Saccharomyces cerevisiae S288C: one gene and its partners. Changing the gene in region 3 together with the main gene of any one other region gives a genetic interaction. Each region holds a gene or a part of one and is shown on either strand. Other genes may lie near its edges. The genes, in order: CAX4, SRT1, SEC59 and GPI18.

What was found.
Region 1: of SEC59 (region 3) and CAX4, extra expression of one rescues a mutant of the other (dosage rescue), as found in Saccharomyces cerevisiae (one study listed by BioGRID).
Region 2: of SEC59 (region 3) and SRT1, extra expression of one rescues a mutant of the other (dosage rescue), as found in Saccharomyces cerevisiae (2 studies listed by BioGRID).
Region 4: mutations in SEC59 (region 3) and GPI18 together harm fitness more than expected from each alone (negative genetic interaction), as found in Saccharomyces cerevisiae (2 studies listed by BioGRID).

The regions. Positions count from the first base shown.
Region 1 is NC_001139.9:555,328-563,018, reverse strand, and holds CAX4 (dolichyldiphosphatase), read left to right. Parts: upstream 1-4,150; coding exon 4,151-4,870; downstream 4,871-7,691. Other genes in the region: sphingolipid homeostasis protein ORM1, read right to left, coding at 1,669-2,337; long-chain fatty acid transporter ACB1, read left to right, coding at 3,025-3,288; YGR035W-A (uncharacterized protein), read right to left, coding at 5,233-5,454; YGR035C (uncharacterized protein), read left to right, coding at 5,597-5,947; 60S ribosomal protein uL24 RPL26B, read right to left, coding at 6,347-6,711, 7,189-7,207. UniProt on the Saccharomyces cerevisiae protein: Non-essential protein which is required for efficient N-glycosylation. Necessary for maintaining optimal levels of dolichol-linked oligosaccharides. Hydrolyzes dolichyl pyrophosphate at a very high rate and dolichyl monophosphate at a much lower rate.
Region 2 is NC_001145.3:466,059-474,238, forward strand, and holds SRT1 (ditrans,polycis-polyprenyl diphosphate synthase), read right to left. Parts: upstream 3,419-8,180; coding exon 2,387-3,418; downstream 1-2,386. Other genes in the region: MYND-type zinc finger protein MUB1, read left to right, coding at 242-2,104; LAF1 (Laf1p), read right to left, coding at 3,790-6,294; YMR103C (uncharacterized protein), read right to left, coding at 6,844-7,206; putative protein kinase YPK2, read right to left, coding at 7,362-8,180. UniProt on the Saccharomyces cerevisiae protein: With NUS1, forms the dehydrodolichyl diphosphate synthase (DDS) complex, an essential component of the dolichol monophosphate (Dol-P) biosynthetic machinery.
Region 3 is NC_001145.3:290,944-299,325, forward strand, and holds SEC59 (dolichol kinase), read right to left. Parts: upstream 5,796-8,382; coding exon 4,236-5,795; downstream 1-4,235. Other genes in the region: translation initiation factor 3 subunit CLU1, read left to right, coding at 191-4,024; BUD22 (Bud22p), read left to right, coding at 7,925-8,382. UniProt on the Saccharomyces cerevisiae protein: Catalyzes CTP-mediated phosphorylation of dolichol, the terminal step in de novo dolichyl monophosphate (Dol-P) biosynthesis. Dol-P is a lipid carrier essential for the synthesis of N-linked and O-linked oligosaccharides and for GPI anchors.
Region 4 is NC_001134.8:239,124-247,335, reverse strand, and holds GPI18 (GPI-anchor transamidase GPI18), read left to right. Parts: upstream 1-1,668; coding exon 1,669-2,970; downstream 2,971-8,212. Other genes in the region: UGA2 (succinate-semialdehyde dehydrogenase (NAD(P)(+))), read right to left, coding at 1-326; RCR1 (Rcr1p), read right to left, coding at 789-1,430; COQ1 (trans-hexaprenyltranstransferase), read right to left, coding at 3,106-4,527; RER2 (ditrans,polycis-polyprenyl diphosphate synthase), read left to right, coding at 4,768-5,628; alpha,alpha-trehalase NTH2, read left to right, coding at 6,053-8,212. UniProt on the Saccharomyces cerevisiae protein: Mannosyltransferase involved in glycosylphosphatidylinositol-anchor biosynthesis. Responsible for the transfer of the second mannose to the glycosylphosphatidylinositol during GPI precursor assembly.

The DNA of each region.
Region 1 (7,691 bases), on a different chromosome or scaffold from region 3:
AGGTATGGAAAACTCATTAACTGAGAAAATACCCAAATTAAACGTACCTTTGAATCCAAAAGGAAGAAAACTTAGCGCTCCAGGTCAACCAGGTCTTTATATAGACCAGGATGAACTAGAAATAGATGAAGATGAATACAAAGAGAAGGTACATGAAATGCAAAAGTTGATTGGTCTAGCTTCATATGTTGGATATAAATTTAGATTTGACTTACTATACTACATCAACACACTTGCTCAACATATACTATTCCCCTCTAGGCAAGTTTTAGACATGACATATGAGTTAATACAATTCATGTGGGACACTAGAGATAAACAACTGATATGGCACAAAAACAAACCTACCGAGCCAGATAATAAACTAGTCGCAATAAGCGATGCTTCATATGGTAACCAACCATATTACAAGTCACAAATTGGTAACATTTTCCTACTCAACGGAAAAGTGATTGGAGGAAAGTCGACAAAGGCTTCGTTAACATGCACTTCAACTACAGAAGCAGAAATACACGCAGTCAGTGAAGCTATTCCGCTATTGAATAACCTCAGTCACCTTGTGCAAGAACTTAACAAGAAACCAATTATTAAAGGCTTACTTACTGATAGTAGATCAACGATCAGTATAATTAAGTCTACAAATGAAGAGAAATTTAGAAACAGATTTTTTGGCACAAAGGCAATGAGACTTAGAGATGAAGTATCAGGTAATAATCTATACGTATACTACATCGAGACCAAGAAGAACATTGCTGATGTGATGACAAAACCTCTTCCGATAAAAACATTTAAACTATTAACTAACAAATGGATTCATTAGATCTATTACATTATGGGTGGTATGTTGGAATAGAAATCAACTATCATCTACTAACTAGTATTTACATTACTAGTATATTATCATATACGGTGTTAGAAGATGACGCAAATGATGAGAAATAGTCATCTAAATTAGTGGAAGCTGAAACGCAAGGATTGATAATGTAATAGGATCAATGAATATTAACATATAAAACGATGATAATAATATTTATAGAATTGTGTAGAATTGCAGATTCCCTTTTATGGATTCCTAAATCCTCGAGGAGAACTTCTAGTATATTCTGTATACCTAATATTATAGCCTTTATCAACAATGGAATCCCAACAATTATCTAATTACCCACATATATCTCACCTTCAGCATCTTTTTCCCCATTTTTTTACTTGTAGTATAGATTGTTGTTTACGTGCACGATTAGCTTCTTCAAACCAGGAAACAGCAATGTATACATTGGCAACTTGGCCGAGTGGTTAAGGCGAAAGATTAGAAATCTTTTGGGCTTTGCCCGCGCAGGTTCGAGTCCTGCAGTTGTCGTTATTTTTGAGTTTTCCGATGTCTATTTTGTGATAATAGTATTAGAAGCAGTACGTGAAATAGTGCTAATACTATCTGTTATTCTTTTTGAATAGAATATGATTATATGAATTAAATACAATTTCAACAAATAGGTTTAGAAGGTGCATTAATATGGAATTTTTTCAATTTTTGTTCACATTCTTTTTCATTTACATAAATGAAGTCCGAAATCCGTTGTTGGCTTTTGAAATTTCAAAGCGTTAGTGATTTGGCCCAGAAAATATAAATATAGCAAAAACATCTAGATACAAGATTGAAATAAACTATGTTCAACTAATTTGGGCGCGACCTGTGATACCTGGGATAGAAATCCTTAATCTATGAGTAACAGGTAACTTTGGGACAACAGCACCAAAGGTTGTCAAAAAACAATTCCATGAAAACAATTTCAAATCATAGTGAGCATAATGAGTACTAACTAAGAATAGGGCGATCGGGACACTAATCAAAAATTTTCTTGAAGGAGTATATAAAGTCTCGTCGTCAATTTGTTCCCACATCGTCAAGTTGTCATAAGCACCACCATTGAAATCGAAAGGGGTACCCTTAATCAGATGGAACATGACATAGGACCCAATAACATATGTCATATTAGTCAGAGTCCACGACCATTCTGTGGTAACACCAGGAAATAAATTATAAAATAGTTTCAGCAGTATGATAATGACCACATGAATAATCCAAGCGCCGCGTTGGTCTACCCAAGTAGCATTCATATTTGGTAGAAGTTGCTGGTCATTTTCATCTTCAAAAGTCTCCGGTTCCACATGTGAAATTATGCTGGAAGAACGCCTTCTTCTATGATCTTTCACAGGTTCCGTCGTTTTAATTGATGAAGATGCACTGCCTGCAGAAGGAAACGGCTTAAGGTCCGTTTGATTTCGACTATACGAGGTAGAAGCCGCCTCAGCAGTTCCTTGATAATCTAATTCGGTCATTAACTAAATGGATAAAAATGCAATGAAATACAAAATAAGAATAACTCTGCTTTTTAGAGAATATGTGGTAAACAACAAAAGGTAGTTAGGGAAATTCAAAAAGGGAATATCAAGCAAAGGAAGATGTTATCGATCAGTGAATTTTTCTTGTTTCGTGAATCCACTGAAATATCTGCATCTGAAGGCGAGATCTCATGATAGTTTTCTAAGGTCTTAAAGTGAAAACATAGGCATTTCACTATACCCGATAGTTGTCGGGTAACGGCTTTGAGTCTACGATGGTTTATATACCGCAGCTCCGTTAGCAAAGGAATAGAGGAAACTCGAAACAGGTAGTCTAGCAATTTGTGTAGGGACTAAACATATTTCGACTATTCTCTATAATCCGTTCCTAAACTACATGCCACAAACTCTCGTATTGAAACATTCCATTAAAAAATGACCGTCGGAAGAGATTACGGCCTTGGTGCCTGAAGACAGGTGGCGCTGGCGGCCCTACGCGCTCTCTGACACGTCCGCAAACTCAACAGCTCCAGGCCAACTCCCCAATGACCGCCATATATATAGCTAGCTTGGATCAATTGGTCTGTCTCGGAAGCAAGTACGTTATGTACATCATTTCACTGTGTGAAGCAAAAGAAGGAAGACTAAAACTCTAAAATTAGTTAAACTAGTGTTTTCAGCAAAATGGTTTCCCAATTATTCGAAGAAAAAGCTAAAGCCGTCAACGAGCTACCAACGAAGCCCTCCACTGATGAATTATTAGAATTGTATGCTCTGTACAAGCAAGCCACTGTAGGTGACAACGACAAGGAAAAGCCTGGTATTTTCAACATGAAGGACCGCTACAAGTGGGAAGCCTGGGAAAACTTAAAAGGTAAATCCCAGGAAGATGCCGAAAAGGAATACATTGCCCTTGTTGATCAACTGATTGCCAAGTACTCCTCTTAGAAAAGGGGTATACTAGCTCCATGTAAGGAGTTTTGGCCTAGCTTTCCTTGTTACTATTCTATTATTATATTTTATTGGCTGCAAAAACGTGACTTATGTACATTTATAAATGCCCATATCCCTTACTACTCTCCCTGGGGACAAGGCGTAATAACTGTTAATAAATGCATATACTCTGTTCTATTTAAATTCTCGGGGTTCGCTGGAATATTGAATCACAATTAGGGAGATTCGCATGTAATTTACGCCGAGAATGATACTGATTTGTGTTGAATATGACAAGGTTTAGCGGAAACACGCTCTTGAAATTTTTAAAGATATTTTCATGATTTATATACAGACTGATCTGTATACATTTTTATATTGTCATACATAGGCTTTAATAACTACTCAGTTTTTTTTGATGGCGGCAGAAGCAGCGCTTTCATTGCTCTACACAAATCCGCAATTCAAGTGACAGACGCCAAACTAGTGGTACAGTACACTTACTGAAGCGCACCATGTATACCCTGATCTACATCTAGAGCTTGTTCAGTTTTTCTTTATGCTTTTAATTACGCCAGGAAGAAAACCGTTCTTACGTGGTGGATGAAATAGGAGAATTCGGGTTTCTGGGAAAACTTAAAATTTCTTGTTGGAAAAGTAGAAAGAAAAAGAAAAGTTTGCCTTCTGAGAAAATGCTACATATGGTAGAGACATCAATCGATTGCTCAACACGCGTTAAAAAGGGGAAAGTGATTGCCACTGTGATCACTTTAAATCATTTCTTCGTTCTCATTCTTTTCGTCTAATTTTCTTCTCTACCACTCATTATACCAGGCATTTTATCTACATCAAAATTTGTTTTGAATCGGATCATATCATGAATAGTACCGCCGCTGCAATAAATCCAAATCCAAATGTTATACCATTCGATGACACATACATTCTCTATGATTCGCATGACTTTCTATCATTCCTTAGTGCATATTTCTCGCTGATGCCCATCCTAGTGCTAGCTTTTTATTTGTCGTGGTTTATCATCACAAGAGAGTTAGAAGCCTGCATTGTAGCCTTTGGCCAATTGATGAACGAAATATTCAATAACGTGATCAAGAATATAATAAAACAGCCACGCCCCGTATCGTTCGGTGCGTCGTTCCAAAATGACACTATAAGATCCGGTTACGGGATGCCCAGTGCACACTCCCAATTCATGGGGTTTTGTTTTACCTATAACTCTCTGAAGATATACACTTCCTGGAAGAATCTAAACTTCTTAGAAAAATGCATTTTTTCTGGTGCATTGGCTTTATTATCGTTTTGCGTTTGCTTTTCCAGAGTTTACTTGCACTACCACAATTTAGATCAAGTAATCGTGGGATTCAGCGTGGGGGCACTGACTGGATCACTTTATTTTTTTATAGTTGGCATCATAAGAGAGCTTGGTTTAATCAATTGGTTTTTAAAACTACGTATTGTCAGATTATTTTACATGACAGATTCTTACAATCTGGCGCCTTTGACATTGAAAGAGAATTACGAGGCGTATTGGAAAAGAATAAATCAGCGATCTTTCAATGATAAATCCAAAAGGGATTAGGTTGAACATTTCATTTTTCTTATTTTTTCATCTATTTTAGCGAGGCGATCTTGAGCGTTTGTGTAACTGGATAAAACTTGGCAAGCTGGAGTAGTCCTTATTTCTCATAAAGAAAGCCGAAAGCCTGCTCTCCTACAGTTATTAATTAAGAACGCTCGTTTTAAACAGTTACTGTGTAAAGCGACGGTAATCGAAAAAGTATGTGACATCGTGCAAAAGAAGATAATCAAAACCATGCAGAACGTAGAATAAATGTGAGTTCTATCACTTGCGGAGATAATACCCTCTGACGCCGCGGGGCCGATTGTTCCACGGAGGGAAAGAATCGGCCCTCGGGTTTTACGAGAGCGCCGCGGGTGAACTCACTTTTTTCTCGAGAAGAAGTTTCCTACGGCAGAATAAGACCCTTTTCCACGGATAATCAGCGGAGCTTCTGGACATAATAGATGGTTTGTGAAAAAGCTTAAGGAAAGCCGCGGATTTAGCATGTCACCCACACTTAGATTACGAAAGCAAGGATTGCAGAAAAAAAGATGAGATACAGTTTTGAGGGCAATATATAAAATATATAAATATAGCAACATTCCCTTCTCTCTGTTATGTCCACAATACTTCTAAAAGTTGTAACATATATCTATACATAAAAACTTGTAACAAACATATAATTAAAACAACTAGTGACAAGACGGAAGTTATAAGTTATCTTCTCTACAGAAACAATACGTAATGTTACTCACACCAGCCAAGACTACAAGAACGGAAGACTCAGCAAACTCAACAGATGACAGCAGTAAAAGCAGTAATTCATTCATGCGTGCCATAGTTTCTTCCCTTATGGTTAAGCCCATAACATCTCTGACTAATACAGTCACATGCAGACAAAGTTCCCATCACAATAGCTCTCCAAGTAAAATCACAAGATATGATTTAATCAAAGCTGCTGCTGAAAATGACTTGAAAAGGAGTAAGTCTCAGGGACGAGAAAAATCCAGAAGAAACTCTAATCGTAGAAATAATGAAGAAATTTTTGTGGCCAATACTGCTTCAGAAATCCAACGGACTAAAAGTAGCATATAGCAACCCTGAGGTCAATGTGCTTAACTACTTCTTTGCATCTTCATTGTCTCTAAAAAGATTCATATCCTCATATCCATTCGCATCTTACTCATCTTCATAATCACCCTATGTACATATATATATTGTCATAAATATACTAATAATTAACAATCACATTTTAATATTGGAAGTTTTCTCATTTTCTTGCATTGAATTCATGCATCTGCCGCTCAGCTAGAAACAAGCGCATTCGTCTACCAACCAGCCCTTGAGACCCGAAGGCAGAATGTGAGAAATTACAATTTTATTTTTAAAGAAACTAAACTAAACTAAATTGAAATTGATAAAAAATATACATAAAAGAAACACAGGATTTATTTATTGTATTTTTTGTATGATCTATGTTAAAGTCGAGCTAGTTTATTCCAATTTACCACCCTTTCTTTGGATCAAAGCCTTTCTGTCCTTGTCCAAGTGTAACTTAGTGATAACAAGCTTGGATGGGTGCAAGTTAATTGGAACGGAAGCACCGTTGACCTTTTCCTTGGTGACCTTGTCAACTTGAACAGCAAACTTCAATCTGTAAACAGATGAAATCTTACCTTCTTGACCCTTCTTGGAACCACGAACAACCAAGACTTCATCGTCTCTTCTGATTGGCAAAGCCTTGATACCATATTGAGCTCTCAATTCCTTGGATAATGGAGCAGATAACAAAACACGACGTTCAGAGGATGGAGCAGTGAAATAAGCCTTTCTGGCCTTTCTTCTGTCAGAGGAAACGTCTATTGAAAACAAATAATAAAAAAATTTGTTAGTAAAAGCAAAACTTTTTTTTCACAATGAGCACATAATTTTCATCCACACTTAAATCTATGTTGCCCCACATCCAACGGAGTATGCATTTCACAAATCAATATAAACGGTAACTTCCTACTTTTCTTCTATCTCCTCTGCGTACTCACGTTTTTCAATATTGGATTCTAAAGCCGGAATTTATGTCAGCAATACACAAGCTTAAAAATCGTTGAGTGCTAAATAGTCGCCCTATGCCTGGATTGAATATGCAAAAGCTGTTTCTTTTTTTTTTTTTTTTTTTTTTTTTTTTTTTGGCTTAGGTACATTCCTCCTCATCATACACATTGTTTTACAATAATTTAACATTATTCGATTAATTGTTCTCTTGCATTTTATGTTAACATTTTTTCGTGGACGGAAATTCACTCATGTTTTCTATCGTTATTCGTATCCTCCAAACATACCTAGAGATTGCTTAGCCATATTTGATATATCTTTGGTCTTGCCGTTGTTATTCCTTAAAAAAGAAGCACTGAGAACGGGCTAATACTTTAAAACAGTAGCCAGATAGCTATTGCTACTATTAATTTCCAAACACTATGTGTGTAAACGTATGAGATTTCCCATCCACGGCGGCCACCGTCTACTGACAACCCATCCTAAGCACTGACAATCTGAAAATTTCCAGATCTCTGTGAGTCCCTCAAGCCGAGGACAGCAGAAAAAAAATCAAAGAGATATGATAAAGCTCCTATTAAACCCAAACACCTTTAATGCACGGGTGTAAAAGGGATGTACTGGGCATCTTTCGCTAAGTTACAAAATGGGCATTTCTTATTTTATTGTCTACAAGAATTTTTTTTATAAAAATAACAACTAGGGAAACAAACAAGAAAAATTTATAATATTCATTGAATTTCTGTGACTTTATTTTAATTTTTTTTTTTCCTATTGGTCAACAAGAAAA
Region 2 (8,180 bases), 170 kb from region 3:
TTCCATTTATCTAAGTTGAACCATTAAACATTCCCTTTTTTACTTTGCTAATTTCATCATACCCATTGATCAACTATAAGTGAAACTTGGGAATCTTCCATTATACAAAGGTGAGGTCCCTATTTGTTGCATTTTTCAATTCATTTCCCTGGGAGTTTTTGTTTGTTTTTGCTATATTAACATATCATAACAGCGTATAGAACGTAATTTGAAATATTCAAAACAAAGAAAAGGTAAAGAAATGAGAGACTCTAATCATCGATCATTAACGTCGAACAAGCCTATAGTAACAATAACATCTACTGTCTATGACCGAAGGGCATTGGATATCAACTCTAGTATTCCGTTAATAAACTCCCTAAACTACTTAACATATCTAACCTCTAATTCATCAAAAGTTAGGGAAACGGTAGCTAACGACGGTGCTCTCGAAAGATTAGTCTCAATATTGAGGAGTTGTCATTTAAGTTTGTTTGAGTTGCTGGATTTGGATTTAGAAAATTTTAATGAGCACGAAAACATAAAGGATCTATGGAAGGAGAAAAGACTAGCACTATGCGCTTGGAAATGGACTTTAACATTTCAGTGCTTAGTATTGACAGGTACTAGAGGGACAGAACAAATTCGTAAAAAAGTGGTAATGTCTGGGGTCTTATCTGTGCTGGTCACAGTATTGGATAACTATTTACTATATCATAAAAATTACGACTTCATCAAAGATCAAACAATGACCTTTGACTTCAAAGGGATAACCACGGAGACAATGTATAAATTCATGAGAAAAGATGAGAATGAAACATATCAGCAGTATATAGAGTTCATTACAGGTCAGGATAAATTGAAGTTGTCAACTGACAAAAATTTTCTAAACGAACGATTAGTGGCACCGTCTATGACAATTCCAACTGATTTTAGTGATATATGGGGCCGGTTTGCAGACCTAGCTAGCAATTTTGAACCTGACCAGGAAAGACACGACGACGACATTGATATTGATAGTGAAGTAGAAAGTGAAAATTTTGATGCACATAAGAATTTCTTTTCGCAACCAGACATTAATAGACCTACAATTTCCACTCCACGTGAATTTTTTCTCGGAAGAATTGTCCCCAAACAAGACGACGTTATATGGTCGCTTCAGTTATTAGCTTTTGTTTCGAAGTATACATATATGAAATCAACCCTTCAAAATGTTGAGCTGGTTGAATCCCTATCGTTCAGAAGTATGGCTTACAAAATTAAACAGAGAATCTCAGAAGAGAATGACTTAGAAGAACAAGAAAGAGACGTAACTGTAAAATTGTCTTCATTATATCCTTATTTATCGAAAAATCCTGAAAACAATTCCAAAGTTAAGGCACTAGATACTAGCAAAATGGATCCATTTTTCAAAGAATTAGAAGAACTCTCAAACAGATGTCAACAAGAAGAACAAAATGAAATATGTAATAACCACTGTCCCGTTCTTAATTTGTTTGAGCGCTACCGTGTACCGAAACCTAGCGACGACAATGCCTATGGCAAAGACAAGGAAAGAATTAATTTAAGGAAGAAAATATCTGATAACTTTGAAAGGCGCTGGAGCTACGATAAAATGAAAAAGGAATTAACAAATATTGTTTACAAAAACAAGGTACTAACAAATGTTGTAAACATCTTCCCCTTAGTCGAAAAATATACAGTGAGCGCAGAAAATACACATGATGTTATATATTGGAGTTCTGTCATCATGAGAAATTCATGTCGAAAAAATGAGATCTTAGGTGTGCGTCAGTGTGCCAATTTTTCGTGCGGAAAATGGGAAGATTTTCCAAGACAATTTGCAAAATGTCGTCGATGCAAAAGAACGAAATATTGCTCACGAAAGTGTCAATTAAAAGCATGGGGATATCATAGGTATTGGTGTCACGAAGTTGGATCAAGTCATATGAGATCCACGAATACTACCACAGGTGTCAATACCCCAAATGAGCCTAGTTCTTTAAATGCCACCGCTACTACAGCAGCTGATGTTTCGAATTCTACCAGTACGTTCACTCCTAATATATCCACCACCGTACCTGATGAAATAAGCAATAGGGATGAAAATAGCATACCTGAGTAAAGTACAAGGGGATTTCGATGACCTAGGTTTAACAAGATCATGAAATATTCATTAACGGAGTTTTTTGTTTTCGCTTTTTTTATTTTTTGTTCCTAATTTTTTTTTTTTTTACATTTTATTAGCTATACACTTGGCGCAAGGATATTTTATATACCGGATATAATAGATAATTAAAAGACTACTAATTAAAAATGATGTAATATGGTAATAGGTATGGAAGAATCAGGGAGTTTTCAGAATGTTCTTTGCCCTCTCTTGGGCTTTCTAGTTTTGCACTTTTACTTATTCATCTCCTGTAACCGAAACTGAAATGGGGGGGTTTGGAAAGTTGTACAAAGACATAGCTGTTTTCTTTTTTTTAAATATTGAAGGAACGCTTTCATGTATTTTTTCAAACAATGAGTGATTCTTCTCATTATATTTTTGAATGGTGGAAAAGAAGGACCATTTGAGAATCATCAGGTACATAGCAAAGAAGCTAAAATTTGGCCACAACGTATCACTAAATTCAATGGTGGCATTTTCATGTACTTGCCATAGCATATAGTCTGAGAGCCTCCTATGCCCACTTGTTCTGATTAATAATTCACATTTATTGGAATGGAAACCCATGTACATTTTATTAGTAAATTTTCTTATATTAATCCTTGGTGATTTATTTTCCAAATGGTCTTCAACTGAATCACGAATAGTATGTAACATATCATTTCTTGAAGTGTAAGGAAAACATATAAATAAAGTGAAATCGTCTCCATCCTGTGTGATTTCTTCCACTTTTTTAATTTTTTTTCTCATTTCTGGAGATAGTAAAGATTGATCACCTACTATTCTTATTTTAGATCCGTATAAGGGATCCTTATAGTCCTTGGCTCTTTTTGCGAATTCATCAAGCTTTACCGTAAACAAATTCATTAGCGTATCTACTTCTTCTTTTGGTCTATTAAAATTTTCAATAGAAAATGCATAGGCGGAAACACATTTTACACCCAATCTTTTGCAGATATACAGTAGTGTTAGTAACGTTAACCCACCAGCTTCATGGCCTTTTTTTACTGGTAGCCTTCTTGACTTGGCATATCTCCGGTTACCATCCATGATAAAGGAGACATGTTCAGGCACTGGCCCTACCCTTAATGCTTTTATCAAAATATTCTGAAGATTTACATAAAACCATGAAAACAAGCTTAATGACATAACCCACGCAAATACTCTCTGAAATATACTTTTCACTGCGAAGCACATCTGTTCTTTGGTTTCTACCAAAAGCCTTTTTAGGGCTACAAACTGAATCTGAATAATACTGGGCATTTTCATTATGGTCAACAGAAACGTCCTATGTTTGAAAGGCAGCCTGTTCTTTATAAGTTGATAAATTGAGAAAAGTGCACCAAATCTTAATCTACTCTGTGTGTATTTTTAGGTCCCTTAAATAACAGAAAAAGTATAGCTTTAGCCGCCGAGGTCCACTCAGTTTGGAGTAGTTACCCTTAACAGGCACTCACTCCGTTTTGTTCTTTCGAAGAGATACGTTATAGTATATCGGCAACAAATGATAGGCTCATTGTTAGCGTTCATTAATTATTAGATTAAAATTTATTTAAGTGTATCGTGTTTCTTTACTTTATGTACGAAGATTAATATGCATTTAAAGGTATCATCCACGGAAAAAAAATACTCCATCAGCGTTAGCGGAAGTTATTAACTACTGTACCGCAGTCTACGCAATAATAGTTTCTATCTTGTTGGTCATTAGCACCAGAAAAAGCCTCAAACCTTGAACCGTTACAAACATTGCAACGGATAGGTAAATTCATTGCGCTCGTTGGAGTGGTAGGCCCATGTGCATTGGAGAAAATAGATGACATGCTTTCCCTTGGTGTTCTTGGCTGTGCATTACTGCCGAGTGTTTTTAGTGATGTACTGCTTTTGGGACATATATTAGAGTATCCACGTCCCGTTGCATAGCCTTTTCCAGTATTAGTATACGCCGCTGCCGGTTGGCCAGCCAAGTTTGATTTCGCTCTCGAGTTGAAGCTTCGACTCAAAGAATGCAAAGAATCAGAACTGTTAAACCTTCTCCGAACCTCTCTATTGTATTCTTCTAGTTTGAGTAACACGCGCTTTCTTATAACAGAGGGCATATCTGCTCTAAACACACGAATAGTCCCTACGTTATCAGTACTGATCAATATCGTTCCAATTGCGTCAACGACATCTGGGATAGCACTGGTGGCGGAAGCATTAGAAATTGAGCCTGGTTTAGAATTGTAGCCCAAAGACGACTCTACATCTGACATTATGCCATCGTCGTTACTCCGACTCAAAACATCGAAACTATCGGATGTCTGAAAAAACTCTAGAGATAGCTCGCAGATAACATCGTTAGACAAAGATAATGTTTTCGAAGTTTCTGGCGGTGCAATGCTAACACAAGTAACAGGGGCATTGTGTGCATGAAAAGAAATGTAATCCGTATTTTTGATATAATGATCGTTGCTATGATGAGGCAAGGGAAGTAAGTTAGTAAGTTTTAAATGATGATGTGGTTTTTCTTCGTTATTCTGGCTGGAAGACCTACTCATTGATTTACTAAATATGCTTCTCAAACTTCCGGACCGAGCCAATCCCTTTGGTTTCCTTTTAGGTTCGTCTTGATCATTCTCTCTATCCGAAGACTTTAACCTCCAGCCGTAAACCCAATGGTCATCACTACTATTTACAACGATTGGCTGACCATGCCAGATGGACAATTGTGCCTTGTGTTGGGAAGATCCGCTATGGAAGCCTTTCAATACCTCTAGAAGCTTCCTCTGTTCTAAGTCAAAAATTCTTATCCTCGAATCATTCGATGTAACTACTAAGCGGAAAGAATTGTCCAGTTGAGATCTAAAAGCTTGCAAACCCGTCACACGTGGACCATGACGAATTTTTGAGTCAGTTTCCGTGACCATGACGTGAGCGTTTTGTTCTTGTGTTTGTCTATCAGCTACGTGAAATGAAGAAACTGGAGTGAGACCTCTGGTCATCAGAATATGAACGTATCCATTAAATGTTCCTATTATAGTGTATTTTCCCTCCTCAGGGGATAATGTAACAGATGTTATTAAGTCTTGACAATCGTACTCAAAGCTAACTTCATCATCCAGTATAGACCATAACCTGCATTTGTGATCCAGACAGCCGCTAATGAAAAATCTATCGTCGGTGGGGTGAAATTCCACACAAGTGACAAAATCAGGATGTATGAATGTCTTAAGTGAATTTTTCCTATCGGGATGCCATAGTTTTACTGTCTTATCCATCGATGCTGACAAAATAAAATTATTTTTAGACCAATTTATATCCAGAACATCTTGCACGTGTTCTTTATACAGTCGCAAAGGCGTTGGGTGAAAGACAGGCGCATACAAATTCAATAATTTTTCCTTCTCTTCGTATTTCTCTGTAGCAGAATCCAAAAATTGTTTTTCTTTTGGATTGTTCAATGAACTGACCTGCTGTTTGATCCGCATCGACTTGGCTCGTGCCTCTTTATTTGATTCCGCACTCGAGTCCAATTCGGCTCTTTCAACTGGAGAGCCAATAACTTTCCATATTCTTATTTTACCATCTTTGCTACCAGTGGCCATAAATTTTCCATCGCGGCTAAACTTTGTACTCCATATAGCTTTAGAGGTTGGTTCAGATGATTTGGAAGTGGAGGTAACCGTTTCACCTTCGTAGGCCATTAGTTCTTGCGCGAGAAACAATCTTCTAAATTGTTTCAGGTTTTTCCGACGTTTCAACATTTTAATGTATTTTGGCTCTCTCAAATAGTTTTCAAATTGCTCTGTATCAATGGAATTGAAAGGGTAAAACTCATTGACCCTAAGATTCGAATTTAAAGTATTGCCTCTCTGTAAATGTTCCTTTAGTCTCATAAATGAATCAGTGGCGTTGCCGTTGTTACTATATTTTAATTTGTCATTTGTATTATTAGTTTTTGTCATTCTGAACTTCAATGGCTCGATATCTGCAGAATATTCAAGATTTAGTTTGCTTTTACTTTTACTTTCACCGGAACTGGACTCGCCGTCGAAGCTCTCTTGATGCGACCGACTCTCCTCTTCAGATCCAGTGGTATTCGAGGAATTGCTGAATTCAGAATGTACCTTGCTTATACTTGTTTTATCCTCCGCCATATTCGTCATATTTCTAATTCTCGTACTATATTATACGCCACTACCGTATACAATATGCCAAGAGCTCAGCAACTGCTTTCTATTCTTTTTCTTTGATTGTCTTTGTTCCTCTTTTCCCTCTTTCTTTTCCTCCTCTGTTTAACAAGTTGGAGAGAGTTGCAGTCTTGTTCCCTATACGGTCCAGCTGTGACTTGTACGAACGCGTATTGTATCCCAGGAAGAAATAATGATGTAACTCGCTTACGAAGCTTAAGAAAGGGCAAAAAAAATGTGTCCCCCCTAACTGCGAAAGTGAAAAAAAAAAAAATTAATGCGTTGAATTTACACAGTTCTATGTATAATTAACTGCTACGATAGAAACTGGACAGTAGTAAGAAAGATTGGACTAGGCATCACCCAGACTTTACTTTTTCGGCATACATATCTATTTATATATAGTTTAATACGTAAATACAAATATATATATACTGTAAATTTTAATCATTAAGCTTTTCTTTTTTTTTTGTTCACGCTTTCACCCTGTGAGGCGAATGAGGTTAGCTTTTTCCCTTTACGGGACTAGGTAAGGCTCCCCATGGCTGAGCCCGCGCAAGGAAATCCAGGATCATCCGCGGAAGAAATAAGCTGCTCCCGGCCCAGACTATGTAAGAAAAGTGGCAACAAACAGAAAAGCGAATCTTTCCTTTCAGGCAATGCAAGGGTCCTTTGCCGTTTGGCGAATTCCGGTAACCTCGACTTGCGCCCCGCGGGCTTCGCTTTGACATCCGCGGGTATAAGCGTCCGTCCTTCGGCCGACAACAGGTCGGTCTTTGATCTCAATTCCGTAGATGGAAGAATTCTGATAATGCTGTAAAAGAAATGAATAAGCAACATAAGTCGTGTGAGAGTTGCTAAAAGAAGAGCGCAGCCTCTGCGGACCATTCTATTTTCTGTAGTTCTTCTTGTCCCCGTTAACCACAATAGTAACGGAGTGCGTATCGCAATCTACTTGAACTATCCATTTTTGAAAATTGCAACCTCTTGCGGCTATAGCTATAAATTCCGTCCGGCTCGGCTCGGCTTGCTTCGGCTTGCTTCTAACTAATGCTTCTCCCCTGCGAAGGAGAATCACCCAACTGTTCGTCACCAATGTACGTCCACCCACCAAACTGCTTTTGAATACTTGCACTTAAGTACTCGTCCACTACACTATCGATCGGTTTTTCCTTAGTGAACTCTTGATCAAAATTTGCAGTATCTATTTCACTCTTTACAATTGGCTTGTAAGGCGGAATATAGCCCTTCAAAAGTAGCTTTTTCCATGAGATGTCTTTAAAGAAAGGATGGTTACGAATTTCATCTGTACCGTTAACGCCGAGTCTTCTGCTTGGGTCTCTGCTTAAGAGGCCAATTAATAGGTCTTTTGCCGCAGGGTCAAATCCATCAGGAAATAGTAGCGGTTGCTGCAGAATTTTCTTGTACATAACAGGAACGTTCTCATCATAGTATGGTGGCAGCCCTGTCATCATCTCATACAGTAAGATACCTAATGTCCACCAGTCAACTGTTTTAGTATAGCCCTGCCCCAACAAGATTTCTGGTGCCAAATATTCGGGAGTACCACAGAAAGTGTCTGTTTTGTCATTATCCTTCATGTTCAGCTTGCAAAGCCCAAAATCACACAGTGCAATATGTCCTTGGTAATCCAATAGAATGTTTTCAGGCTTTAGGTCACGATAAATGACGTCAAGTTTGTGTAATGAATCGAGAGCACATAATAGTTCTGCAATATAAAAACGGGAGCGTGCTAGACTGAATCGTCCCTCGTGTTGTAAATGGTAGAACAGTTCACCGCCATTAATGAAAGCTAATACTAGGTACAACTTCTCCGGAGATTGGAATGAGAACTTCAACGG
Region 3 (8,382 bases):
AATAAAACGGATACCATTTCTTGGAAATTATACGCTTCGAAGTATTCTCAAAAAAGGAAATTGTCTGCAGTGAAGATTGGATATAAGGTTCACTAAACACAGAGTAGTAATTGAGCTGTAATTTGTTTACAGAACGAATCAAATCAGCGTAGTGTTACAGTTTATCTGAGACTGCATATCTTTAATCTCTATGAGCGAGAAAAAAGAAGAAGTTAAAAACGCCACCGTTAAGGTGACTGTCAAACTTCCAAAAGAAGATAACCATTCGCATAATACGAAACATCTCAAAAAGACCCAAAGTTCAAAAAATAATGATATATCTTTTGAAATCGGCAAGGAATCCAAAATTCAAACTGTTCTAGATGTGTTGGCTATGATTCCAAGTTCCAAGTACCTGACAAACGTTGGGCTGAAAACAATTGAAGGTGACTCCCAGCTATCTGATGAAATGTCTATAAAGGAAATTGTTGGTGAGAAAAGCGAGTTAAAACTTCAATTGATACTGAAGCCATATAGCGCAAGAGAGGCTTTGAAACATGTGATTACTGTTCGCGATTTCATCGGATTTGCCCAAGAAACCTCAGATGGATTATCTGAATTTGCTATTTCTACTGGTTCAAGCTTTTCCTCGTTACCGTTGGGTCCTATCAAGGAACGCTCAAAACAAGAAGAAAAAGACGAGAAGAGCGATCCAGAAGAAAAGAAAAATACTTTCAAAGATGTGACTGACGAGGAAAAACTAAAATTTAACGAGATGGTTCACGAAGTGTTTTCTAGCTTTAAGAATTCTTCAATTAACAAACTTCTCACCTCTGAATCCAACATCATCACGCCGTGCGTCAGGTCTTTGAGTTTCGCACCTTACAATCCTGTACCTCCATTTTATAGAAGTAAAGGTCATCTATTTTACCTACAAATTGTCACTTTGGAAGGTGAGAGTTTCTATATCACTGCAATTCCATCTGGATTCTATGTCAATAAATCAAACTCAACTAAGTTCGATCCTTCTCCAAAAGAAAACACTGACGAGAACGCGCACTCATCCCTGATCTATTACAGTCTATTTGACTTGATTGCTTCTCGCTCTAAAAAATTCATTTCTCATGTCCAAGCATTCGAGAAAAAACTATCTGCTTTAGATTCTACAAGCTATGTAAGACCAAGCAATACTTTCTTGCATAAACCATGGTTTGTTTCTTCATTGCCACCAAATAACCCAGATTATCTGAGGTTACAAACTGCCGCCTTGGATACCACGCCAGAAAGAAACTTTAATGATGAATTTCAAGCCATTAAAGATTTGACTACGTCAACATTACAAGATCGTATTGAAATGGAAAGGTTGTTTTCTAAAGTTGTACATGAATTTTCTGTTACTGCAGCATCAGGCGCTATGTCAATTTTTTACAGTGATTTCGTTGCAATGAACCCAGAATCTCCAACTCGGGATCAAATTTTCTTAAAAGACAATATCTTTTATTCCTATGTTTCCGACGTTAGTGGCAATTATGAAGGGAAAGGTGGGGATGAAGCTGCAATCGCTGCTTCCAACCAAGACTTGAAGACAATCAATATTTTGAATCGCTTGCATATGCACGAAGTTCGTTATCTTTTAACAACTGTAGTCGAATTTGCAGGCAGAAGAATTTTGGCTCAAACTCCAGTACCTGGACTCTTAGCTACCATGGGTAACAAAATTGTAAAAGATGCTAATACCGGCGAAGAGGTTACCGAAGATTTTGTCAATGATATTAATGTAAAGTACGGCCTTGATGAAGGTTTGGGAAAGATTGTTTATGATGCTGACTTTGATTCTGTTTTAGAAAAAAAGTTTGTCAAGGCATTCCATTTGAAAAAGCACAAAGTCAACGGTACTGAATTAGCATTTTCATCGCAATCCAAGGGAATAGTTGGATTCGATAAGAGGCGCTATATTTTGGATTTAGCCAACACGTATCCCTTGGACATCAACTTTGCTAGACAAAACTTTGACAACATCGAAGAGACTGGAAACCGTTACCCACACAGGCAAACTTTGTTACGTCCGGAGTTAGTAGAAAAGTGGTGGAATAATAAAGTTGAGAAGGAAGGTGTTGAATTTGAAAAGGCCTATGAAGAAAATTTGTTTAGTTATAACCCTGATGCTTACCAGGTCGAAGGTATTGAGGACGCTAATGTTGACGAAATGTCGAACTACTTACAAAAAGAAGTTATTCCCAGCGTTATTCAAGATTATTTATCTGGAAATTTGAGCACTCCTTATAATGGTGAACATTTAGCCGATACTTTACATAAGAATGGTATCAACATGCGTTACTTGGGTAAAATTATCGAGCTTTCTCAAAAGGAATTGGACTCCCAAATTGTCCACTACGAACAAAATTTGAAAGCTGTTGAACAAGACAACAAAGAATATGAGGATTGGGAAAAATCTTATCTGCAAAAAATTGAGAACATGATTAAAGAGAGACAAGCCAAGATTAATAAGCTGGTACAAGAAGGCAAAGAGGTTCCAAAAGAACTAACTGAAGATTTGAAATTAAACGATGAAGAAATCAAAAAGCCCACCGATGGAAAACCTGTGGTCGTTGCCTATGATGAGCTAGTGCCATTAATTAAAATTTCCGAATTAGAAATTGTTTCGCGTTCTTTGAAACATGTTTTAAAAGATTTGAGTAAAGATGTTCCGGTCTTCTTGGTTCCATCACTGGTAGCATACGTTTTCAATATGTTAGTTGGTATCAACTACAATGCTGATCCGAAGCCAGAACCAGTCGACGAATTTTATCCAGTCAATAAGTGCTCATTTGCTAAATTAACACGCTCCGAATTGCTGGAAGCTGTCTCTAAACAAGCCTTCTTGCGTTTCCGTCATCAATTACCATCCAATTGGATCGAAGCTTACATGGAAAATCCTTTCACCCTCATTAGAAGTGTTTCTTACAAATTTGGTATTCAATTGCTCAATAAAGAATACTTCTTTACTAGAGAACAATTGGAAAGTTATAAGCAAAGTCTTGACAAGAAAATTAGGAACAAGTTTGTCGAACCACCAACTACCTTCAGTTTAAGCGATTTGACCATTATTCCACGTGTTAAGTTCTCAGAATATACTTCTTCAGTTAGTGAGGAATTTTGGGCTCAAGGTGCTTCTATGATCAACGAAGACAAACAAAGTGCTTTGACTTTACTCGCTCAATCAATTACAGTCTTAGAAGATGTTAACAATATTTTACATCCCGCCGTTGCTGAAAAGTACTTGTCATTATCTGCCATTTATAATAAGTTAGCATTATACCCTGAAGCTATCGCGTTCTGTCGTAAAGCATGTACTATTTATGAAAGAGTTAGCGGTATTGATTCTTTTGAAATGATGAGGGCTTTAACTAATTTAGCAATTCTAGAATTCTCTAATGAAAGTCCTTATAACGCTACTGTGGTTTATAATAGGCTCGCAGAAATCCTAAAAGTTTATGAGTTACCAAAAATCCATCACCCAGCCCCCACAAGCATTTTCAACCATTTGGAACAATTAGCCCTAGGTGTTCAAGATACCAAATTGGCTATTGAAGTCTTGGGACAACTAAGCTCCTATGTTGTGGAATTAGAAGGCAAAGATTCATTAGCATATGGCTATACCGAGTCACGTTTAGGTAATTTGTTTGCAGCATTGAAGGATTTCCACCGTGCATTAGAGCACATCACTGTAACCCAAGGGATTTTCACCAAGCAATTGGGTATGAATCACACGCACTCAGCCCAATCAAGACAGTGGGTTAATGGTTTAAGCTCATTAATAATGGATTTAAAACAAAAGAAGCAACTTGCACAAGATCAAATGTCGACAACGGGATCAAATTCAGCTGGCCATAAAAAAACCAATCACCGTCAAAAGAAGGATGACGTTAAACCTGAATTGGCTAACAAAAGTGTGGATGAGTTGTTAACATTTATAGAAGGCGATTCTTCCAACTCTAAGAGCAAAAACAAAACCAACAATAAAAAGAAGCATGGTAAGAAATAGAGAGCTAACTTAACAATCTCGTTTATTTATTATTTTTCTTTATATCTATAGCCCATACTTGTATATACTACGTGTAAGTACTAGATATAAAACGAAAAAAAAATACTTACAATTATTTTTTTTTCTTTACTGCTCTATTCTTTTCTTTATTCTATTCATAAATGCAAACAATTAGTTATGTAATTTTAAAAGTTGAAAATAATTGACTTTGTCAAAGAGTAATTAATTTTTCACAAATCATCATAAATGCAGGTATCAAAATATTGTCATTAAGCACACTATTACCTTCTAGCACTCCACTCAGTGTACAAAGGGTAAGCAATTGTAAAGTAGTTAGGTGGTTAAAAATTGCAGCTTTATCAAAACGTAACAATACCAAACAAACGATAAAACTCGTTACTATAAACGCAAGAGTTCCCTCTAAAGTTTTTTGTGTACCTTTCCAACGAATGCGGCCATACCTTTTACCAATAATAGATGCTAAGGAATCACCAATTCCCAATCCTATTAGACCCATTGGAGAGTTATTCATTAATAAAGGTGTTGATATTCCGAAGAGTAAATAAAGGTATGATATGATCAATGGCCCGCTGTGGTCCCTATCATCAGCAAACCTTCTTAGTTGTAATTCAATAGCAGATCCTAACGGCGGTAGGTTTTGAAATCTTATGTACTCAATTGATAAGAAGACTGGTATTGTTCCGGACAATGCAATTTTCACAAAGTTTGAATCCATTTGGAATGACGGTATTATGAGTAAGAAAATGATGAAATGCCACAATTTTCGGGAGGTGTTCAACGATAGACTGTCCTTCTCGATCAATATACTTGGTATGGACAGTATAAGAATTGAAGACCAAGCAAACAAAATCTTTTGACGAATAGTAGACTCTAAGATATATTTTACCAGCCAAAGTAGCGGATTTTCACCGTCTTCTAAATGAATGAAGGTATTGGCAAAAAGTGGAAGCCCGATGGCAAAGGATATTGACAGCATAAACGGTTTAAAGTGCATTACCTTTTTGAGCACATAGTTAATTGAAATTATTGTTGTGAGAGCAAGGATAATGCCCTTCAAAATTCTAAAATGTACTGTGCCAGCCTCTGAAACGTACAGAATATTGGTTAATAGGATACTAAAAAGATTAGAGTCGATATTATCTAAACTTTTCAATTGCCCAATATACTTCAAAATTAACGACAGTAAAGAATTTATTACTATGCTAATAATATTCTTTAACCTGTCACCAGCCTCAAAATTAAAAAATATGAGGCAGAGCTGTAAAATGATCACTACCAACTGAGTTCGCCATCTATATGAATTTAATACCGAAAGGATCAAAATAGTATTTATCACCGTAGATGATGTATCGAACAACAACGAAACCATAAACGGTAAATATAAACTGTAAATGGTATCGAACTTGGGTAGGCTTTTGTAACCATGTTGCCAATATTTTGTGAATATCAGACCAACCATTATCAAACACACCACAAAGACATTTACAAAGATTTGTTTATAAGATATATCAGCGGTAACAATGGACCACGGCTGAAGCCTTTCAACACAGTAAAAAAAAGTGCCCAACAATATAACAGTTTGAACAAAATTCGAATAAAAGCACTCAAAATCTCGAGAATTCCCGCCCACATCAAATTTACGAGTCCTCATATTGATTTTGCAGATCTCCTCAGTTGGCATTTGGCTTCCCTCAGTTTTCTGGGTTAGTTTAATTGTGGTAAAGGAAGCATGAGGTATTATAGCGACCATATAGGCAATGAACAGAATAACGACAGTTTATTGCCTCGAAAGGAGTCTGATTTACTAGCTAAATTCTAATATTTGGCTTACTACAAACTCTATCTTTCATAGAATACGTCCTTCGATACCATTTTCACCATCTTGACTAACAACGTGTACAACTCTTTTGAAAATTACGTGCCTGAAAACCCAACCATTGCGGACAGCCCTCAATAACGTATCTTAGCATTACCCGCACACCCATACATCTAGAACTTTTTTCATTTCTGAAAATTTTTTTTTCTTCTAGGATTACTTCGGGTATAAATAAGAGACGCAGAAATGGTTATTGGCAATTAATGCTTCCTCTCTTTAATAAGTTACAATATTAGAATCCTATGATTTCCATCACAAAGATCAATACAAAAGAAATATTCAGATGAGTGGGAGCTATGAAAGGCTGAGAGAGAAATTGAATCCATAAAACGTTTTTTTCCGTGTTCTTTTTTTCTTCTTTATCAAAGTTAGTTTTTCAGATATGTCTTTTGTCATTATCACAGGCTAATTATTCCCTTGATGACCAAAATAAATTTTTACAAACTAGAGTTTCTGAATCTTTTGTGATTAGAACGTTTATTCTTATTTCTGAGGTTTTTAATTAGCAATAAAGAAGAAAAAACTGAAAGGAAAAGTCTAAATAGAAATACAGTAGTATTTCTTCAATTTCTCTGCTCTCCTTTCATTTACCACACCCATTTCAATTTTCTTTTTATTCCATATTTATTCAAAGGTGTTTGTTCATATGATGATTATAACAAAAACAAAAGCTGGAATTACTGGCTGAACGAGTATATGTTGATACGTTTTTGCACTATCCTGACCTAGCAAACACCTTTAAAATAAATACTAGAAAGTTGACACATTTCCATAAATTGGAAGAATACATTTAAGCTTAGAAAACAGTAGTTTTTTAGTGCTATTCTTCCGTAGATTGATGTTTTCGATCTATTTGATACAATGGAAATGAGGATCCACAGCACTGGGCACTGAGGGGGAAACAAATATCCTTTCAAATGAGTGACAATGCTTTAGCGGGCCTAGAAAACCCGCGCAACTGATCCATTGTAAGTTTTTCTGAGGGCTAACAGAATTTTCTATAGGGAAGAATGGATTTTTTTCTCATTTTCGTATAATTATGTGAATTGGTTTTTATGATGAGATATTTATAGATGACGAGTCTGATCATTCGTGAAGACACAACTATTAAAATTACCATTCATGCCTTTCTGAAGCTGTTTACATTATTCTTTTCGATTAGCAAAGAATTTGGAAATAGAAAAAAATCGACAGATAACTAGTTCATCAGTTGATGTGTCTGTATTGCTTCCATGTTTTTTAAAGAAAATTTCTACCTTAGAGACGTCAATGCTGCAGAAGATGAAACAAATTACTCAAATAGACAAGCATATGTCTGATCTTCATGATTGAAAAGAGCAATTAGTGTCTGATGCAATTTAAACTAGAAAATTTATCTGAGAGAGATGAGAGATCGTACAAACTGTTTCAAGGTTTTTAACTTTTCTCCAATTTCAAAAATTGTTTATGATGATTTCCACATTTCACGACGGTCAACTGCGTTTTTCGAATGTTTATCGATTAACTTTGATGATATTTCGCCTGTGACAGGGCGTGGTACTGAGCTTTAATATTTTTAGCAAATTTAGAAATTGGGTCAAGCGAACCATTGTAATGCTGACTATTTGGACGACTCTAATCTCTTCAATATATTTGAGTTCAAATATATTAACTTGAGTAAATTTTCTCTTGCGTTAATTATAACTAATTGTGATGTGATGACAACTTCTTGAGCTATATATTTTCTTGAGAACATCAATGAAGAAAACGTCTCATCAAATGATTTGCACGTCAGTCTGATCACAAGCCATATAAAATTCTTTAAGTATTTTATCCATTCTACCTTTTTCATCTGTTAGTGATCGATTAAAGCAACACCCAGACATTACATGGCCCATATGGCAAAAATTTTCATCTCATCTACCTCATCACTGTGTGCATTTAGTGTATGAATGACTACTTTAAGCAATTTAACCAGTATATACGTATAAAGAGGTCAAGTGTACGGATAACCCAAAGGAAACATGCCTTCCGAATCATCCGTCTCTATCTACAAGCTTGATCAGTTGGAGTATCAGTACCATTATTTGACAAAATCATTACAGAAGTTTGAACCAAGATATCCAAAAACTGCCAAATTATACAATTGTATAGGTAAAAAGAACAAAAAGAAAATTGAAAAACTGTTAAACTCTTTAGAGTTGAAAACTTTGGACAAAGAACTAGATGAAAGTTACTCAAAGTTACTCAATAATAAGATTCACTATTACGAGACGCATTTATCAAAATGTATAAAAGAACAAATTCAGAAAATATCCAAAAAAAATTCTAGTAAAGTGAAGGATGCTCAAAAAAATAAATCACCCTCTATAGATATTGAAAAGATGCTTGCTACGCAGTTGTCATTAGATGATTTAGCACTCTTCATGACAAGATTTAGGCTGATCAAAATCTTACACCAGAGGATCAAACAAAAAAGCAA
Region 4 (8,212 bases), on a different chromosome or scaffold from region 3:
AGAGCTTTACCATTTTCTAAAGTAATGATGGTTGCCAGATCATCCAAATTTTCAAGCATTAAGTTATACATGTTTCTGAGCCACTTTGCCCTCTCTCTTGGTGTTGTATTCTTGTACGTCTTGAAAGTTTCATAGGCAACATCAATCGCTTCCTCAACCACGGAGACTGGTTGTTCGGGAACTCTTGCTATGATTTCGCCGGAAGCAGGGTCTACCACCTCAAAAACTTCGTCAGTGCCCTTAACCCATTTTCCGTCAATATAACCAGATTCTCTGAATAAATTAGGGTCGTTTAGAGTTGGTTTAGAATACTTACTCAAAGTCATGTTGAAATAGTAGTTTGTAAAATTTGCTTTTAATGTAGCTGGTTTTCTAGCTTAATTGATCAAATAAGAACAGAACAATAAAGGACGTTGCGAAATAATATCTATTGATCTCTGACGAGTATTTATACCCTATTTCCTCTCCATTACTGATGGTGATGTGATGTGATGTGGTGCTATCTTGTCACCCTTAATCCATTGGCCGCCTTTGCTAATCCCGCGCGCATTTTCCCTTTATCACCACCACGCCGTGCGATGGACTTGAAGTATTTACTATTGATAAAATAATACTGAGAGATTAAAGACAATGTACTGAATATAAACTATAGCACTTCAACGACCGCGGGCCTGAAGCGGATTAGGAATTAAAATAATTATTATAGAGATTGGGTAAAAAAATGTAAATATTTCTGGCAAAATATTGTAACTCAACTGTAAGAGGACAGCCGGAAAAAAAGATTCAGTTCATGACCTTGCATTTACCTTTGCCCTCTCCGGTGGGTTAATTTCCTGCGTTGTAGTCCCGCCCGGAAGCCTTTCCAATTGCTCCACCGTATCACTTACAGCTGGAACGCGCCCATTGCTAGGCCTTGTTAAACCGTAATCCGTATCTAAAGAGTTAGCTTGGTGAACTACAGCAGCGGGAGGTCTTTCTAAAGAATTAACAGATTCTGATGAACATTCTTGTACCAATGGCGGGGGGGCCACGTATGCAGCCTTATCGTTGGGGTGAAACTCGCCCCGCTGGTCATAGTATCCAAGATCATGTTCGTTCGCTGTTTCTGTATACTCAGGAACATAATCATCTGTCCGTTGCTGAACGGTCCCAGTATATTGTTGCTGAGACTGTCTGTATGAAGGCGGTGTCAACCATGCCGTACCTCTAATGGGAGCACGCCCCATCCTTCGTCTCCTTCTGTTCGCTACAAAAGTGAACAGTATTATAAGGATTACTGCGGCAACAAACAGCACAAACAAAATCCATATTCCTGACTGCCATGACGACGATGATGGCCCATAGTAACTAGTCACAAATTTGCTAACGTGATGGTTATCTGCCTTTTTCACCTCGTTTATCGCCTCATTTTCGTATGAAATAAGTCCCATTCCTTATTCTTAATTCGAGTTATACTTTCCTATTTATTGGAATGATCAATAAGCTATTACAGGTGCCTTTTCTGCATGAGCTTCCTGTCGGTCATTTAAATACTTAAAATAGAAAATCCCTTTTAAATCAAACTTTTTTTTTCAAGGCTTAGTTGAAAAAAAAAGTAAGCCTCATCATCGAAAAAAGACATAAAAGAGAGGCTTCGAGAGAGGAGGCGGAATAAGACTAAATTAAAATATGATTGTGGGGTTGACACTTTATTTTGTATTATTCCGTTCAATACAGTATTTACTGGTTTTTTTGACTCCAATTAGGCAGTTTGATACATCAACATCACTTTTATTAAACGAATTATGTTCTTCTCCCTCTGAAATCAACAGTTATTGGAACAAGTATTTTTGGAATAAGCTACTATCATGGGACAGTGTTTTTTTTATCAAGAACATAACTTCCAAAAACGGAAAACCTCAATTTGAGCATGAATACGCGTTTTCTCAGTTGTGGACTTTTTTCGTTAGGCTGTTTATTAAAAGTAATAACGATAGCATCTACCATGCCTTAAGGGTTGGAGTTGCAATAGAAAATGTTTTATTTTACTTGTCAGGTATTGTTTTATATTTTCTAACAAAAAAAATTTTCAGCCAAAATATAAGGCAATCACAGTTTGCTAGAACTATCGCTAAAAAAACATCTCTGTTGTTTTTCTTAACGAGTGCCGCTGGATTTTTAACAAGCATATATTCTGAACCATTATCTTTTTTTTTTGCATTTGTTGGTATTTGGAGTCGTGAATGCTCCATTTCCGTGCCCGTATTGGGTCAATTCGATATTTCGTGGAGATATTGGTTTCCTTACTCCTTTATCAGCATGGCTTGCTTTACCTTAGCATCCTTGAATCGTTCAAACTGTGTTTTGTTAGGGATTTACTTTATTTTTGACCTTATTGAACTAACAAAGAACAGGAAGTTTGTAAAAGCAATATGTTTCCCACTATTATCAGGATCATTAATGTTTTCTGCTCTACTATATCAACAATATTACCTACCATATAAGACATTTTGTCCTCAAAGGGGTGAATGGTGTAAATCTCAATTGTTTTCAAGCATTTTTATCACGAAAACTTCTTTATATTCCTACATTCAGAGTCATTATTGGGGAGTTGGGTTATTGAAATACTGGACCCCAAACAACATCCCAAACTTTTTGTTTGCTGTCCCAAATATTATTATTTTAATCTATTCCTCCATATATTTCAGCAAAATTTATCCCTCCTATAACTTGAAGGCTCTCGTATGGATCACCAGAGCACTGGTCGTCATAGTATGCTTTTTTGCCCATGTCCAAATTCTGAATCGTATAGCCTCCTTTTTACCCTTGCACCTTTGGTATTTGGCTGATAGATTGGTTAAAACTTCTGATCCAAAAAAAATGGAAAATCCGAAAGGTGACGATAAGATAGTCAAGTTTTACATATACTGGTTGGCATTCTGGATACCTTTACAGACTATCCTATTTGCAGCTTTTTTACCACCAGCCTGATCCTTAATGCTTGTATATTTCTTCTTTTACTAAAAACATATAAAAACTATTTACATATAGAATATAGAATAATGCGACACTATGACCTTCTTCATTTTCTCTTTATTCTTCACCCTTTATTTGAAATTTCAAGGTTTACTTTCTTCTTGTTAGTATACTATTAGTTAAAAACTCTAGGGCAGAACGAGCATCAGATTCAGGAAGAGAATCCCGTAGATTTTGTAATGCCTTGTCCCTATATTCCTCCGCTAGTATTTTCGTCTTCGCTATACCATTATGGAGTCTCACAGAATCAATAGTTTTTTCAACATCACCCCTCTCTGAAAAATTGCGTGAAATTAGTGGACCTAAAGATGGGTCTTCTTTCCATGCAAACAAGACTGGAGCAGTAGCAATACCTAATTTTAGATCCGCGCCGGATGGCTTCCCTAAATCTTTTCCAGACACAGTAAAATCAAGCATATCATCTACGAGTTGGAAACATATACCTAGATTTCTACCGAAATCATAGCATTCGTCGATAACGGCAGGTGATGCCCCAGATAATATAGCAGCACATCTGCAAGATTTTGATATCAAAGCAGCAGTCTTCAGATAGGTCTTGTGTATGTAGTATTCAAATGCAGTTTCTATAATCTGATCATGAGATAATTGCAGCCCCTGTTGGCGGCTTGGAACACGAAAGTCGTGCTCTTTAACTTCAAGCTTTTTAGAAGGAACCGGAAGTAGCTTATGGCCATTTTCGATGGTATCGATATCCGCGTCAATGGAAGTATTTTTCAGTTGCATGAACTCACCTTCGACAAGATTCGCAATACTATTAGACATTAGTTCTACGACTTCGGGGTTGTGTAATCTTGAAATTGACACTGTTGCTCTCCCTAAGAGAAAATCACCCGCCAAAACGGCCATCTTGTTGGTAAAGGCAGCATTTCCGCTTGGCCTTCCTCTTCTTGTATCAGAATGATCAATAACGTCATCATGAAGTAAAGACGCAGTGTGTATCATCTCTACAATCTCTGCTAATCTTCTCTGTTTGGGTAAAATCCCTCTTTGTTTGTCAAAAGTTTCTTCTGGCAAAGGCTCAGGACCTTTTGTCAAGGGATTTAGTGGTTTAATACCGTGAAGAATATGTAGTGGGGATATGCTACTTGCAGGACGTTGAAATAGTTGATTTTGACTAGGTTTAGAGTAAATTGGGTCCTCAGGAACATCCGACTTGTCAATTTTCAAGTGATTTCTTTCTGTCATGGGAATTTCAGAAAGTGCTCTTGACAACAACAACACTAACAAGGGACGTACTTTTTTGCCTTCTGTTTCAAAATAGTAACTAGTAACCTTGTTTAGCACCGGATGGCCAGACCCGATGAGGGCAACTATATTTTTGGCCAATGTGTTCATCTCCTTCGAGACTAATGATATGGGATTATTCCAAAGAATCTTGGGAGTTACCAACTTACTGGCAGCGTTTAAAGCAACTGCAAAGGAGGATTTAAAGCGGCATCTTCGAGATGAAATCAATTTGATGTGATGAGCAGCGCCAGACCTTTGAAACATCGTCCCACTGTACTCAATTCGGACTGAATGGCACACTTCTTGTGTTGTAGAAAATCTCTATAGATTATAATGTGTCTTACTTTAATCTTCTAATCCCCTAACCCTGTTACCCTCGCTCGGGCTTTTTCCGAAGATGCCAACAAAATGCTTAGAATGAAAAAAAAAAAAATTTTCGTAATAATGACAGGTTTCAATAGAACTTAAGCAGTAAAAATAGGGTAAACACAGGTAAAAGACGGTATGGAAACGGATAGTGGTATACCTGGTCATTCATTTGTGTTAAAGTGGACAAAAAACATCTTTTCGCGCACATTGCGTGCATCTAACTGTGTACCTAGACATGTTGGGTTCATCATGGATGGGAACAGGAGATTCGCTAGAAAGAAAGAGATGGACGTAAAGGAGGGCCACGAGGCAGGATTTGTTAGTATGAGTAGAATCTTAGAACTGTGTTATGAAGCAGGAGTCGATACGGCTACCGTGTTTGCCTTTTCAATTGAAAATTTCAAGAGGAGCTCACGGGAAGTTGAATCACTGATGACTTTAGCGCGCGAAAGGATACGACAAATCACAGAACGTGGAGAGCTGGCCTGTAAGTATGGGGTACGCATTAAAATTATCGGCGATCTCTCTTTGTTGGATAAGTCTCTATTAGAAGATGTTCGGGTTGCTGTGGAAACTACAAAGAACAACAAAAGGGCCACGTTAAATATCTGCTTTCCATATACAGGCAGGGAAGAAATCTTGCATGCCATGAAAGAAACAATTGTTCAACATAAGAAGGGCGCCGCTATAGACGAAAGCACGTTAGAATCGCATCTCTACACGGCGGGGGTACCCCCTTTAGATTTATTGATTAGGACAAGTGGCGTTTCCAGATTAAGTGACTTTTTGATATGGCAGGCATCGAGTAAGGGCGTACGCATCGAATTGCTGGATTGTTTATGGCCAGAGTTTGGACCTATACGGATGGCATGGATTTTATTAAAATTTTCGTTTCACAAATCCTTTTTAAACAAAGAGTACAGATTAGAGGAAGGTGATTATGACGAGGAAACCAATGGGGACCCCATCGATTTGAAAGAAAAAAAGTTGAATTAAGAAAGGTCTGCATTTTTTTCCTACCACATGGCATAGATATTTATAGAGTAATGAGCAAGATAAATGAGTTCGCAAAAGAACATTCAAATAATTAGTAATAAATGAGTAGAAATTCACGCATCTTTATAGAGTTTATAATGCAAATCTCCGCGCGGGGTAATTTGAAGTCCAATTTTTCCGAGCGGCGTGCCAGTTCCACTAAATTATATAAAGCGGATAGGAATTGTAATTACCTCCCAAAGTTAATATTCGACTAATGTATATTTCATATGTTATAGCGCTTGTAGGAACTGTTTTCCATTAAAACTAATATTCTTTATTTCTCAATTTTATTTATTTATTTATATTTTTCCTTTGCAAATATATTTGACGCAGGTTCGGATCAGACATTTGGTATATAAGGAGACCTGCATATACTCAAATAATGGTAGATTTTTTACCAAAAGTAACGGAAATAAATCCTCCATCCGAAGGTAATGATGGTGAAGATAACATAAAGCCACTTTCAAGTGGTTCAGAGCAGCGGCCGTTGAAAGAAGAGGGGCAACAAGGTGGTAGAAGACATCACCGGCGGTTGTCCTCTATGCATGAGTATTTTGACCCGTTTTCCAACGCAGAGGTCTATTATGGACCAATAACAGATCCAAGAAAACAGTCAAAAATTCATAGACTAAATAGAACCAGAACTATGAGTGTTTTCAATAAAGTTTCTGACTTCAAAAACGGAATGAAGGATTATACCCTGAAAAGGAGGGGTTCTGAAGACGACAGCTTCCTCAGCAGCCAAGGTAACCGTAGATTTTATATTGATAATGTGGATCTCGCTTTAGATGAGCTGCTCGCTAGTGAGGACACAGACAAGAATCACCAAATTACCATAGAAGACACTGGGCCCAAAGTTATTAAAGTCGGGACGGCCAATTCCAACGGTTTCAAACATGTAAATGTTAGGGGAACATATATGCTTTCTAACTTGTTGCAGGAACTAACCATTGCAAAAAGTTTCGGACGACACCAAATATTTTTGGATGAGGCGCGTATAAATGAAAACCCTGTTGATAGATTATCAAGATTGATAACGACTCAATTTTGGACGAGTTTAACGAGAAGAGTTGATCTTTATAATATTGCAGAAATTGCTAGAGACTCAAAAATAGATACGCCAGGCGCTAAAAATCCAAGAATTTATGTTCCATATAACTGCCCAGAGCAGTACGAATTTTACATTCAGGCATCTCAAATGAACCCGTCCTTAAAACTTGAAGTGGAGTACTTACCAAAAGATATTACAGCAGAGTATGTTAAATCATTAAATGATACACCGGGTTTGTTAGCCCTGGCTATGGAAGAACACGTTAATCCATCTACTGGTGAAAGGTCCCTAGTTGGTTATCCTTATGCGGTACCTGGCGGTAGATTCAATGAATTGTATGGCTGGGATTCATATTTAATGGCACTGGGACTCATAGAAAGTAATAAGGTTGATGTTGCAAGAGGTATGGTGGAGCATTTTATATTCGAAATTGATCACTATAGTAAAATTTTGAATGCTAATAGGAGTTATTATCTTTGCAGATCTCAGCCACCATTCCTAACCGATATGGCTCTGCTCGTATTTGAAAAGATAGGAGGTAAGAATAATCCAAACGCTATTCAGTTGTTAAAACGCGCGTTCAGAGCTGCTATTAAAGAATATAAAGAGGTGTGGATGTCGAGCCCTAGGTTAGATTCTCTGACAGGGCTGTCTTGTTATCATTCTGATGGTATTGGTATCCCTCCGGAAACTGAACCAGATCATTTTGATACTATATTATTACCGTATGCTGAAAAGTACAATGTTACTCTGGAAAAGCTTAGGTACCTTTATAACGAAGGCATGATTAAAGAACCCAAACTGGATGCATTTTTTTTACATGATCGTGCCGTGAGAGAGTCAGGACATGACACGACTTATAGGTTTGAAGGTGTATGTGCATATTTAGCGACAATTGATCTAAACTCCTTGCTCTATAAATATGAGAAAGATATTGCTTTCGTCATTAAGGAGTATTTTGGTAATGAATATAAAGATGAGAATGATGGAACGGTAACCGATTCTGAACACTGGGAGGAGCTAGCTGAACTGAGGAAAACAAGGATTAATAAGTATATGTGGGACGAAGATTCAGGGTTTTTCTTCTATTATAACACGAAACTGAAATGCAGAACGTCTTATGAGTCTGCAACGACTTTTTGGAGTTTGTGGGCTGGTCTTGCAACTGAAGAGCAAGCAAAAATCACAGTAGAAAAAGCTCTTCCTCAGTTAGAAATGCTCGGCGGACTAGTTGCATGCACAGAAAAATCAAGAGGTCCTATTTCTATTGATAGACCGATCAGGCAATGGGATTATCCTTTTGGTTGGGCGCCGCACCAAATATTAGCCTGGAAAGGTTTATCTGCATATGGTTATCAACAAGTAGCTACAAGATTGGCTTATAGGTGGCTGTACATGATTACAAAATCATTTGTTGATTATAACGGAATGGTGGTAGAAAAATATGATGTGACAAGAGGGACTGATCCGCATCGCGTTGATGCGGAATAT